Linked DNA regions of Oryctolagus cuniculus. The protein of the gene in region 1 purifies or fractionates together with the protein of each later gene. This does not show direct contact. Links are inferred from orthologs where the notes say so. Each region holds a gene or a part of one and is shown in the gene's direction. Other genes may lie near its edges. The genes, in order: NUP62, NUP88 and NUP214.

Region 1 (3,643 bases):
ATCTTCCCAGTTTGCAGATTTCATCAGGTTGGCTGTGGGAGCCGGAGCAGCTGCTGCCGACCAGAGCTGGAGCCATGAGCGGGTTTAATTTTGGAGGCACTGGGGCCCCCACAGGCGGGTTCACCTTTGGTACCGCAAAGACAGCAACCAGCACCACGCCGGCGACGGGGTTCTCTTTCTCTACGTCTAGCTCTGGCGGGTTTAATTTTGGGACTCCCTCCCCTGCGGCCGCGAGCACCCCTTCCACCGGGCTGTTCTCTCTCACGACCCAAGCGCCAGCAGCCCAGACCCCGGCGTTCAGTTTTGGCACCACGACTCCCGCTTCCGGAGGCACCGGCTTCTCCCTAGGTCTCAACGCCCCGAAGCTGAACTTGGGCAGCACGGCGGCCACCTCAGCCACAGCAAACCCCAGTGGCTTTGGGCTCGGCAGCAGCACCCTCACCAGTGCCACGTCGGGCACCGTCACCTCCAGCCAGGGCACAGCTCCCACCGGCTTTGTGTTCGGCTCTACCACCACGCCTGCGGCCCCCGCCACCACATCCGGAGGGTTCTCCTTCACCGGGGGAAGCTCCTCGCAGACGGGGACGTCTGGCTTCAACATCGGCTCCGTGGGGAGTTCGGCCACCCAGCCCACGGCGCTGACCGGGTCTCCCTTCACCGCAGCCACGCCAGCGGCCACGGGGGCAGGGCCCAGCCAGCCGGCCGCGCCCACGCCCGCCGCCACCTCCAACGCTGGGCCCACCCTCTTTGCCTCCATAGCCGCGGCTCCCACCTCATCCACCGGCACGGGGCTCTCCCTCGGTGCCCCAGCGACCACCGCCGCGGCGCCCGCGCCTGGGACGCTGGGCTTCACCTTGAAGGCCCCTGGAGCAGCTGCCGGCACCTCCACGGTGACGTCCGCTGCTGCCACCACCACCACCACCACCACCACCAGCTTCGCCTTGAATCTAAAACCTCTGGCGCCGGCCGGGGTCCCCAGCAACACGACGGCCGCCGCGAGTGCTCCAGCGGCCCCCAGCGCAGCCACCGGGGCGGCCGGCAGCCCCGCGATGACCTACGCGCAGCTGGAGAGCCTCATCAACAAGTGGAGCCTGGAGCTGGAGGACCAGGAGCGGCACTTCCTGCAGCAGGCCACCCAGGTGAACGCCTGGGACCGCACGCTCGTCGAGAACGGCGAGCGCATCACCAGCCTGCACCGCCAGGTGGAGAAGGTGAAGCTGGACCAGAAGCGGCTGGACCAGGAGCTCGACTTCATCCTGTCGCAGCAGAAGGAGCTGGAGGACCTGCTGAGCCCGCTGGAGGGCTGGGTGAAGGAGCAGAGCGGGGCCGTGTGCCTGCAGCACGCCGACGAGGAGCGCGAGAAGACCTACAAGCTGGCCGAGAACATCGACGCGCAGCTCAAGCGCATGGCCCAGGACCTCAAGGACATCATCGAGCACCTGAACACGTCCGGGGGCCCCGCCGACACCAGCGACCCCCTGCAGCAGATCTGCAAGATCCTCAACGCGCACATGGACTCGCTGCAGTGGATCGACCAGAACTCGGCGCTGCTGCAGCGGAAGGTGGAGGAGGTGACCAAGGTGTGCGAGGGGCGGCGCAAGGAGCAGGAGCGCAGCTTCCGCATCACCTTCGACTGACGGCCGGGCCGGGGCCGCGGCGCTCCCTGGTGGCCGGGGGGGCCGATTCTCTGAAGCGATTGTGCTGTGGAGAGAAGTGTTCTGTGGTTTGACTTTGCCCGCCAGCGAATGCGTAGAAAGTGTCCCGAGCGCCGCTGGGCGGGCGGGCAGCAGCCGGTGGGCGGCTCTGTGTCTGAGTCCTGTGTCTTTGGCCCCTTTCACCCACTGCCACCCACCTCGCCCTCCCCCGACAGAGGCGCTGAGGCCGGAGAGGAGAGGCTGCCGCCGGCCGCTCTGCCCAGCACAGTGGAAGTGCTGAGGTGGGCAGGCTGCCCTCTGCCCCGTGTGGGGTTTAAGCCGTGCGCTCCGCCCAGACACACTGCTCCCCGCAAGGAGGGGCTGCTCAGCTGAGGCGAGGCCCAAGCCCGGGGGGCTTCCCTGTGCCCGCTCCCCGTCCAGGTGGGCCCTCGGGCCTCCCCTCTTCCAGGGCGCCGCCCCGGCCGGCCCCATGGCACACTGAGCCTGTGCCAGGGAGGACTGGCTGTGCGTCTTGTGCCGACTGTTGGCCCCCGTCTCACTGGTAGACTGAGCTCCCGGGGGCAGGGACTGACTCTGTCCCCCTTTGTCCCCAGCACAGTCCCAGTCAGCTTTGCTGAATGAGCAAAGGACGAAGATGAAACCTGGCGTAGCGCTGGTCCACCGTGTTGCCTGCTGCGGTGGCCGCGGTGGCCACGCAGGGGCCCTGAGCCCCGCCAAGGTCCCCGTGTCGCCGCCCAGTGTCCTGTGTGTGTGCTTTGCATTCTCTACGATAGCCACGCTGTGTGTCGCCTTCCTGAATAAAAACATGAACAGCTGCCGTGCCTGTGTAACGTCAGGGTGAGGCGGTCGAGAGCGAGCAGCTCCCAGAAGCCACCGTGCTGGCGCCCTCCGGCCGACAGGCGCGAACAGTCTTGGGTCTGTGCTGACCTGTGGGTGACGCGGGCGCTGGCACCGCACTGCCTGCCCTCGCCCCGGTGGAGCAGCCTCCGTTCCTCCGCTGGGGCTAGCTGGAGGGCTCGGGCGGAGAGGCGACTCCCAGGTGCGGCCCGGCCAGCTGCTGGGAGCTCTCCCTCCTCCTGGGGACGGGGGTCCCGGCCCCTTGGCCTCACCCGCTCCATGGCTCACACCTCGGAGCCCTGTGGCCCATTTTCTAGAAGCTTCCCAAGGTCAAGATCACAAGTCATTGTTTACGTTGAACCATCTGGGGCCTTGAAGGCCAACACAACTTTGCAGGCAGCAGCCACAGAACAGGGAGGAGGAAGACCCCGCCAGCCTCCGTGAGCGCTGCTGCCCTCTCCCGGCCTTGACCACGGGGAGGGCCCGCGCTCCTGCCCTAGAAAAGTGGTCTGTTTCCTGCCTGCGTTTTTTCATTCGACATCCGTGGAGCAATGTTACTGAGCCCGCGAGCTCAGATTGTCCCTGTCAAAGGCCACACAATCTTCCTAGGGGGAAAAAAATGGGCATTTAAAAAATATATGCATTTGAAAGAGTGACAGAGGGAGAGGTTCCCCCCCCCACCTGGGTGGCAGGGACCCCAACACTTGGGCCACCATCTGCTGCCACCCCAGCTGCCTTCCCACTGAGCAGAGAGCAGTGCCATGGGTACCGGATGCCGGCGGCACGGGCAGCGGCTGGCACCTGTGCCACGACGCCATCCCAAGCGTGCTTCCCTGGTGTGCGTGTGTATATACTCCCGTTTCACATATTAAACATGAGTAAAACTCAGTTGCTTTCCTTTATTTTATTTTTAAAGATTTTATTTATTTTATTTGAGAAATAGAGCCACAGACAGTGAGAGGGACAGAGAGAAAGGTCTTCCCTCCACCAGTTCACTCCAAATGGCCAGAACTGCGCCGATCCAAAGCCAGGAGCCAGGTGCTCTCTGCCGGTCTCCTACACAGGTGCAGGGCCCAAGGCCTGCTCTCCCAGGCCACAGCAGAGAGCTGGATCAGAAGTGGAGCAACTGGGACTAGAAGTGGCACCCATGT
Region 2 (4,219 bases), on another chromosome or scaffold:
TGATATGCATCACCAGTGCTTACGAGTGCCTCATCCGGCCTCTGCTGTATGTCCTGTTACTCACTCTCGTTACTTCTGCACAGCTGGGGAATGGCCGCAGTAACTGGGTTCGCCTTATGTACACCGTGTATGCCCGGCTTCTAACTAGAGGGTTGCAGAGGTGGACATTTCTGGACGTTTTCATTTTAGGTCGTTTCTGGCATCTTCCTCTAGCTGAGAAAACAGCTCTTGTTAATACTAAAATAATAAACTGCATTATCCCGATGAATTAGATTTAATGACTGGCAGTAGTCTCAGCCTGACGGTGTGCCAGCCGAGAGCTAGTTCTCCACCTGCACTGCCTCCTGGAACCCCACAGCAGCCTTGTCACCCTCGTCCCCTGAAGGGCAGTCAAGGCCAGGAGGCAGCAGATGCAGGGCCGACTCACTGGGCGTCCCACTCACGCTCCGTGTCACCGCCTGCCAACCTCCGTAACTGGAGATGGTCTGAAGCCGAGCTCGGTCTTGGTTCCAGTATGAAGCTTCTCTGAGTTTTAGGAATGCAGAAAGAAGAGTGGACAGCAGATGGCATGGGCTTCGAGCAGCAGGCCCCGCCCGCCCGTCTCCCCATGCCGGTTCAGCCTGCGCTTCTAGATACTGGGTGCCAAGTACTGGTCCTCACTGTCCTCAGAGGATCTCTATCCTCTTTTAAGATTGACAAATTATGATATTTAGAAGGGAAAATGAATAATTGATGTGTTATACCAAAAGACAAAACTCTAGCATGGCTGAAAAAAAAACATTTGAAGTCACTGGGAGAAAACTGCCTACTTCCAGTGCTTCAGCTATTTTTAAAAGCCTCATCCCCTTTAACAAAGTCTAGTTGTGACAGGCGACTTCCAAATAGAGAACGTGAGTCTCAAAGGGGGAAATGTTCTGACGTCATCAGGTCACCCTCAAACCGTGTTTTTGCTAATCCCTGAAATACAGGTTGTCTACAAAATGGTATTTTCTTTACAAATTTGAATCATTGCCTTCAAAAAAGTCACTTAACCTACTGCCAAAGTTTGCAGTCTTTCAGATTCTTTCTGAAATTGCCTCTGCAAATATTTTCACTTGAGTGGATGTAATTTCTAGAATTCAAGGTGTATAAAACCAAGTATATTTGATTTAATAGCTACCTGACTTAGTGCTGGGTCTCATCAAATCCATACCTAGAAGCGAGCATTCGCTTCTGTCTGTGGCTCCGGCTCCCCGGCAGTGCCCTGAATCAGTGTCTGTTTTGTGCTGCTTTAATCTCGGCAGACAGAATTGCAGGTGGGCAGAGTGCCAGCGGCAGCACTGGTGGAGAAGCGTGTGGCTCCCTGAGCTGAGCTCCGCCAGTCAGAAGACGTGCATTCTTGGGGTGCTGGGGAAGCCACACTGGACCAGAGTGCCGAGTCAGCACGGCGTGTGCACTCCTGTGGTGCCTGCGTCAACTCTGTGGCGCTGCTCTTCTGTTCCTTTTGCAGAAGTACTGTCCATCCGGCGTCTCCGCCCCTGCTCTGTACCCGAGAGGACGCCGAAGTGGCCGCGTCTCCCCTCCGAATTCTGGCCGAAACTCCGGATTCCTTTGAAAAACACATCAGGAGCATCCTGCAGCGCAGCGCCGCCAATCCGGCGTTCCTCAAGTACGGGATCGCGGGGGCACGGTCTAAGAGGGCTTGCGGCCTCCTTGCGCGTCAGCATGTCAGACGTCCGCTGGGCGGCGCTGAAGAGACGCGGGCAGGTCCGAGGAGCCGGTGATGGGGCCTGGCTCCTGAGAATGAGAGACAGTGTTAGAAGGGAGGAGCTGGGACTGGGGACCGTGTTGCGTGGTGCTGCTTGCTCAAGGAAAGTCACGCGGGAACTTTGTGTCTAGGTCGTCTGAAAAGGATACGGCCCCTCCTCCGGAGGAGTGTCTGCAGCTCATCAGCAGAGCCACGCAGGTGTTCCGGGAACAGTACATCCTGAAGCAGGACCTGGCAAAGGAGGAGATTCAGCGGAGGTGTGACCGGCTGTGTTCCCAAACCTGAGGCCGGGTCACGGCACAGGCCTAGCCTTTGATTAAACTTTCTTTTTGTTCTTAAAGGGTCAAATTATTATGTGACCAGAAAAAGAAGCAACTAGAAGATCTCAGTTACTGCCGGGAGGAGAGGTGAGCGTCAAGACGGGGAGAAGGAACCAATCCTGAGAGTGGAGCTGTGTGGTCGCCCCTGGACGCTGAGCCCCACCGGCCAGGGAGGCCCAAGTCTCTTGCTTTTTATGCCATTAGGAAAAGTCTGCGTGAAATGGCCGAGCGCTTAGCTGACAAGTATGAGGAAGCCAAGGAGAAACAAGAAGACATCATGAACAGGTCCGTGCCCGGGCACCAGCAGTGTTAAGAAAAGGGCCCGCCTAGTAGGTGCTCACAGACCTGCGCGGGGTGGAGTCGGTAGGATCTGTAGGTAGGGCGATGAGGGGCACGTATCTGGGGCAGTGCTTGCATGACGGCGGCAGCTGGGAGGTCCCACCACAGGCCGCCGGCAGGCTGGATCCCTGGTGTGGCACCGCTGTGCCCGAGCGCCCTGGAACCAGGGAAGCCGAGGGTGTCGGCCTCACCGCGCAGTGCAAGGCCTGGCTGTGCTCTCCCACCTTGTGTAGTGGGTCTCTGCAGACCCCCAGCCAGTCGACGGTGCCCACCAAAGCCGCGGTGGAGAGCCGGGCCTGGCCAGCTCCTGTTTGTGACTGTGTTTCTCGTCAGCAGCGGCGCGCTAGAGCTGAGGCGTCCGCTTACCTCCCCTGCAGGATGAAGAGAGTGCTTCACAGCTTCCACTCTCAGCTCCCCGTTCTCTCCGACAGCGAGAGAGACATGAAGAAAGAGCTGCAGCGCATTCCTGAGCAGCTCCGCCATCTGGCCAGTGCCATCAAACAGGTAGCAGCTGCGGGCGGTCTACGTCAGCTCTGCACAAAAGTAACTTTATAACATATAAAAAGGACAGACTAAAATAAGAGACTGAAAATACATGGCAAACCACAGCCACGGCCCGCTCCTCTGTCTGCTCCTCAGGTCACCATGAAGAAGGACTACCAGCAGCGCAAGATGGAGCGGGTGCTGAGCGCTCAGAAGCCCAGCATCACGCTCAGCGCCTACCAGCGCCGGTGCATCCAGTCCATCCTGAAGGAGGAGTAAGTACCCGGCCCCGGCCCCGGCCCCCGTGAGCAGGTCAAGTGGTTCCTGGGCCAGGGCTGGGACACGGCGTGCAGGGCTGGGGAGGCCACTTCCCCGCTAGGAGGTGTGTGGTCGAGGGTTTCCCAGGGAGCGCGTGCGCAGCGGCCCCGCTGTGCTCCGGAACACTCGAGTTCACCATGACAGCGGAGACCGTCAGGAACCCCTACTACGGACTCCTGGTTCTCAAAGCCGTGACAGTCATGGTGACTTTCACAGGGGCGAACACATAAGAGAAATGGTCAAACAGATCAACGACATCCGGAACCACGTGAACTTCTGACGCCGCAAGGACCAGAGTCAACTGAAGGCCGAAACCCACGCTGTAGCGCGGACAGCACTAATTTATAAACAGGCATTTTAGATGAATTTTGGTGTGATGGTTCATTTTTTAATATTTTATTTGTTTTTTAATTATTGAATAAAGGCTTTTATTTTAAAAAGTGGAATGTCTGTGATTGCTAAAGTCCTGAGACAGCCTTTGGGCTGCACACCGCGAGCTCGCCACAAACACGACCGCGTTCTTGGCCTATCTGAGCAAGCACACGAGCTGTGTGTTTAGGTAGCAGCACCAGAACTGCGGCTCTGAAGAGACAAAGAGGAGGCCACACGGTGCAGGGGGCAGCAGCTTTTTTAATTTGAACACTTTCTGGTTAAGGACACACCTTCAGGACAGTTCACAAACGGCTACACCCGCAGTTTGCTCGGAACAGAGCCCAGGAGCGCAGCCGCAGAGGCCCGTGCCCGCGCACTTCCTCTCAGAGCTGGGGCCAGCTGCGCTGCGTGCAGCAGTCGCTACCGAGTGGCTGCAGGTTCCCCTCAAGGGAGGAACGGCGTGCTCTGCAGTCTGTGTGGTCTGTCCTCGGGCTTTACGTCCTCTTTCTGCTCGCCAGCGTGAGCTCCGAGAGGCAAAGCCGGGCCTGCCTAGAGTGCCTCAGTGACGCCAGGTAACAGCCACGCAGTAAGGGACGTTACAGGTTCAAGGTAAATCAGGCTAGTTCTGCATGAGGACACG
Region 3 (3,643 bases), on another chromosome or scaffold:
CAGTAGCCTCTAAAAGCTCCAAGGTATTAGGGAGCGTGAAAATGGATGGCAGAGACGGCAGGGTTGGTAGGACTGGCAGAGGCAGTGAGCCCTTATGGAGGGAGGCAGAGTCGTGAGGGGACGCTGCAGCTTTGGCTGGATTGAGTTGTGCCTGGTCTTGGCAGTCTGTGTTAGGGGATTTGGACTCCTGTTTCAGGTATTTCACAGCATCTAGCTTCTGCTTTAAGGTCATGAACACCAGGAGATTCACCGTGTCCTTTTTCCACGATGGAATTTTGTTGAACATTTGTAAGAGTAAGCCAGCTCTGGGGTTTGGTCTTCTTCCTGCAGTTTTCTCAGTGTGCATTGCTGACTACTGCCCTGGAAGTTAGCACTGCAGTGTAGCTGGTGATGCTCTCAGTATTTAGCAATAATTGGTTAGCACGCTGTTGGGTTATGAGACTGTCCATGCCATGAAATAGGACAAGGTTATGGCGTAGGTCGTGTGGTGATTCAGACAATAATACGAACTCAGAAAAGGAGATCAGTGTCAGCTGGATTAGTCAAAGGATGCTTTGTGGAAGGTGTTTTTTCTTTCATTTATTTTGTTCAAGTTAATGAAAACATTTTAAAAACAACTGAGATGGCTCTTGGCCTTTGCAATATACGTTTCTGGTGTACTGAAATTGAGTCTAAGAAAATAACAACTGACATGATTTAACTTCCTGTTTACCCTGAATTGGTCTTGTTTTGACCCTTTCAACAGGATTTTCAGTTCAGAGCCCTGAGAAAGGTGAGGATCTTTGATTCTCCCGAGGAGCTGCCCAAGGAGCGCTCGAGTCTGCTTGCCGTGTCCAACAAGTACGGTTTGGTCTTTGCTGGCGGAGCCAGTGGGTTGCAAGTTTTCCCTACTAAAAATCTTCTTATTCAAAATAAACTTGGAGATGATCCCAATAAAATAGGTAAGTTCTCTGACTTATGTTACGTCGTCAGGAGGGGGGTGTGGTGATGTACTGCTGTGTGTTCTTCCCAGGAATAATATGAAGATTAGCACTGCTGTTGAGCCTACAGTTGGCTCCCAGGAGGAAGCTCTGGGTGGGGTGCGCAGGCCTTGTGGTTCGGTCCTTTGTATGTCTGTGTCAGTGAGCGTCCTCTGAGCGCAGGAGGAAGAACTTAGCATTAGGCCGTGCTTTTATTTTTGCTTACTTCAACTAGGTTTCTGGCTCCAGGAAAAGGGTTTTATCACCTGGGTTTCTCCTTGGCACAGTACCATGCAAACACCTGGGAATGTGTGCTATGTGGAACATTGTTGCACAAATGTTTTCCACAAGGTTAGAAGCCAAAGTTAGACTCCCAAGGTCGTATGAGGAGGAGTCCTTGGATACTTACAGCATCATCATGTATCTATTTAAGAAAGTTATGATTATCTTCCTAACTAGGTTTTGGGGTATATGTGTAGATGCAAAAATTGTTTCACATTGACTTGGATAAAGGCGTTGTGCTTCTATGCTTAGAGCGTGTTTTCTGCATTGTCTTTTTCTGTTTCCATAGTTGATAAGGTCCAAAGCTTGCTAGTTCCTATGAAATTTCCAATCCATCACTTGGCCCTGAGCTGTGATAACCTCACTCTCTCCGTGTGCATGATGTCCAGTGAATATGGTTCCATTATCACTTTTTTTGACGTCCGCACGTTCTCAAATGAGGTAAGCCGCCAGCAAGCTGGAGTGTCGAAGTGGGGAGCTGAGGTTTCCCGACCTGGAATTAACGATGAGAGGTTTCTTGGGTTGATGCCTGCAGTTGTTTTTCAAGACTAAAATATGGATTTAAAAAGTGTGTATTATTTAGTTACAATTTTAATTTTCTTTAAAAGGCGAAATGTTCACCACAGCTGGGGCTGGGCCATGCCAGAACCAGGAGGCAGGAACTCGGTGTGGGTCTTCCACGTGGGTCAGGGCCCTAAGCACTGGAGCCTTCACCCCTGCTGCCCGTGATGCACGTTAGCGTGGAGCTGGCACTGCAGCCCAGGCACTCCGATAGGGCTGCACCTTTCCAAGGAGCAGGTTTTTTTTTTTTTTTTTTTTTTTTTTTAATATTTATTTGTTTGAAAGGCAGAGTTACAGAGGCAGAGAGAGAGAGAGGTCTTCCGTCTGCTGGTTCACTCCCGAAATGACCGCCATGACTGGAGCTGAGCCGGTTCGAAGCCAGGAGCCAGGAGCCTCTTCCAGGTCTCCCACATGGGTGCAGGGGCCCAAGGACTTGGGCCATCTTCTACTGCTCTACTGCTTTCCCAGGCCATAGCAGAGAGCTGGAACAGAAGTGGAGCAGCCAGGATGCGAACTGGCGCCCATATGGGATGCTGACACTGCAGGTGGCATTTTTACCTGCTACGCCACAGTGCTGGCCCCTCCAAAGAGCATCTTACCCACTGTGCCAAATGCTTACTTCAGTCCTTTTTTTACTTTTTTTTTTTTTTGACAGGCAGAGTGGATAGTGAGAGAGAGAGAGACAGAGAGAAAGGTCTTCCTTTGCCATTGGTTCACCCTCCAGTGGCTGCTGCGGCCGGCGCACCGCGCTGATCTGAAGCCAGGAGCCAGGTGCTTATCCTGGTCTCCCTTGGGGTGCAGGGCCCAAGCACTTGGGCCATCCTCCACTGCATTCCCGGGCCACAGCAGAGAGCTGGCCTGGAAGAGGGGCAACCGGGATAGAATCTGGTGCCCCGACCGGGACTAGAACCCGGTGTGCTGGCGCCGCAAGGCGGAGGATTAGCCTAGTGAGCTGCGGCGCCAGCCTTCAGTCCTTTTTAAAAAAGGTTTATTTCATTTATTTGAAAGACAGAGTTACAGAGAGACAGAGGCAGAAAGAGAGAGATGTCTTTCATCTACTGGTTCACTCCCCAAATGATCGCAATGGCCAGAGCTGAGCTGATCTGAAGCCAGGAGCTTCTTCTAGGTCTCCCACATGGGTACAGGGGCCCAAGCACTTGGGCCATCTTCTACTGCTTTCCCAGGGCATAGCAGAGAGCTGGATCAGAAGTGGAACAGCCGGGACTTGAACTGGCGTCCATATGGGATGCTGGTGCTGCAGGCTGCAGCTTTAACCTGCTGCGCCATAGCGCTGGCCCCACTTAGAAGACAGAAAGGGCTTCTAGAAATTATTTCATACACCACTTGCGCAAGGCAATGCTGTTTCTCATTGACACATGAGACAGCCAGCCCGAGAGGCTAGGGTGGCCTGCCCAAGGCCATAAAATTAATGGATAATGTCAGAAGTTCCCACGTCTTGGGTCTAACAGAGAATGTTAAAAGTTGTTACATTGTGGGACTGTGGTCTCCTAAGGCAGTTTAAGAATAACAGTCAGTAATGGTGAGTGTTTATACTCTGTGCCAGGCACTGTGCTACCTTATATGCCTCGTCCATGTTCATTCCTGCCTGTCTTACGTAGTAGGTACCGGTATCTTCATTTTACCCATGGAGAAGTGGACTACGAAGAGTTTAAGTAGCCATCCCAGGTCCCGGCGCTGTGAAAGAGCAGAGCCAAGGGCTGGGCATCGGGGCGGAGGCTGTGAAGCCTGTATCCCACGTCAGTGCCTGGTTTGAGATCTGGCTCCCTGTATCCCACGTCAGTGCCTGGTTTGAGATCTGGCTCCCTGTATCCCACGTCAGT

What was found.
Region 2: the proteins of NUP62 (region 1) and NUP88 purify together in Homo sapiens (co-immunoprecipitation; 4 studies listed by BioGRID and IntAct, counting the BioPlex papers as one, with this or other methods). This does not show direct contact. The link is inferred for Oryctolagus cuniculus from reciprocal best matches to the Homo sapiens genes NUP62 and NUP88.
Region 3: the proteins of NUP62 (region 1) and NUP214 purify together in Homo sapiens (affinity purification with mass spectrometry; 5 studies listed by BioGRID and IntAct, with this or other methods). This does not show direct contact. The link is inferred for Oryctolagus cuniculus from reciprocal best matches to the Homo sapiens genes NUP62 and NUP214.

The regions. Positions count from the first base shown.
Region 1 is NC_091449.1:7,675,432-7,679,074, forward strand, and holds the end of NUP62 (nuclear pore glycoprotein p62), read left to right. Parts: intron 1-10; coding exon 11-1,637; 3' UTR 1,638-3,380; downstream 3,381-3,643. UniProt on the Homo sapiens protein: Essential component of the nuclear pore complex. The N-terminal is probably involved in nucleocytoplasmic transport.
Region 2 is NC_091448.1:50,941,334-50,945,552, forward strand, and holds the end of NUP88 (nuclear pore complex protein Nup88), read left to right. Parts: coding exon 1-46; intron 47-1,489; coding exon 1,490-1,648; intron 1,649-1,878; coding exon 1,879-2,004; intron 2,005-2,088; coding exon 2,089-2,154; intron 2,155-2,271; coding exon 2,272-2,352; intron 2,353-2,783; coding exon 2,784-2,910; intron 2,911-3,045; coding exon 3,046-3,164; intron 3,165-3,423; coding exon 3,424-3,487; 3' UTR 3,488-3,647; downstream 3,648-4,219. UniProt on the Homo sapiens protein: Component of nuclear pore complex.
Region 3 is NC_091432.1:233,665,205-233,668,847, forward strand, and holds part of NUP214 (nuclear pore complex protein Nup214), read left to right. Parts: intron 1-745; coding exon 746-941; intron 942-1,530; coding exon 1,531-1,682; intron 1,683-3,643. UniProt on the Homo sapiens protein: Part of the nuclear pore complex. Has a critical role in nucleocytoplasmic transport.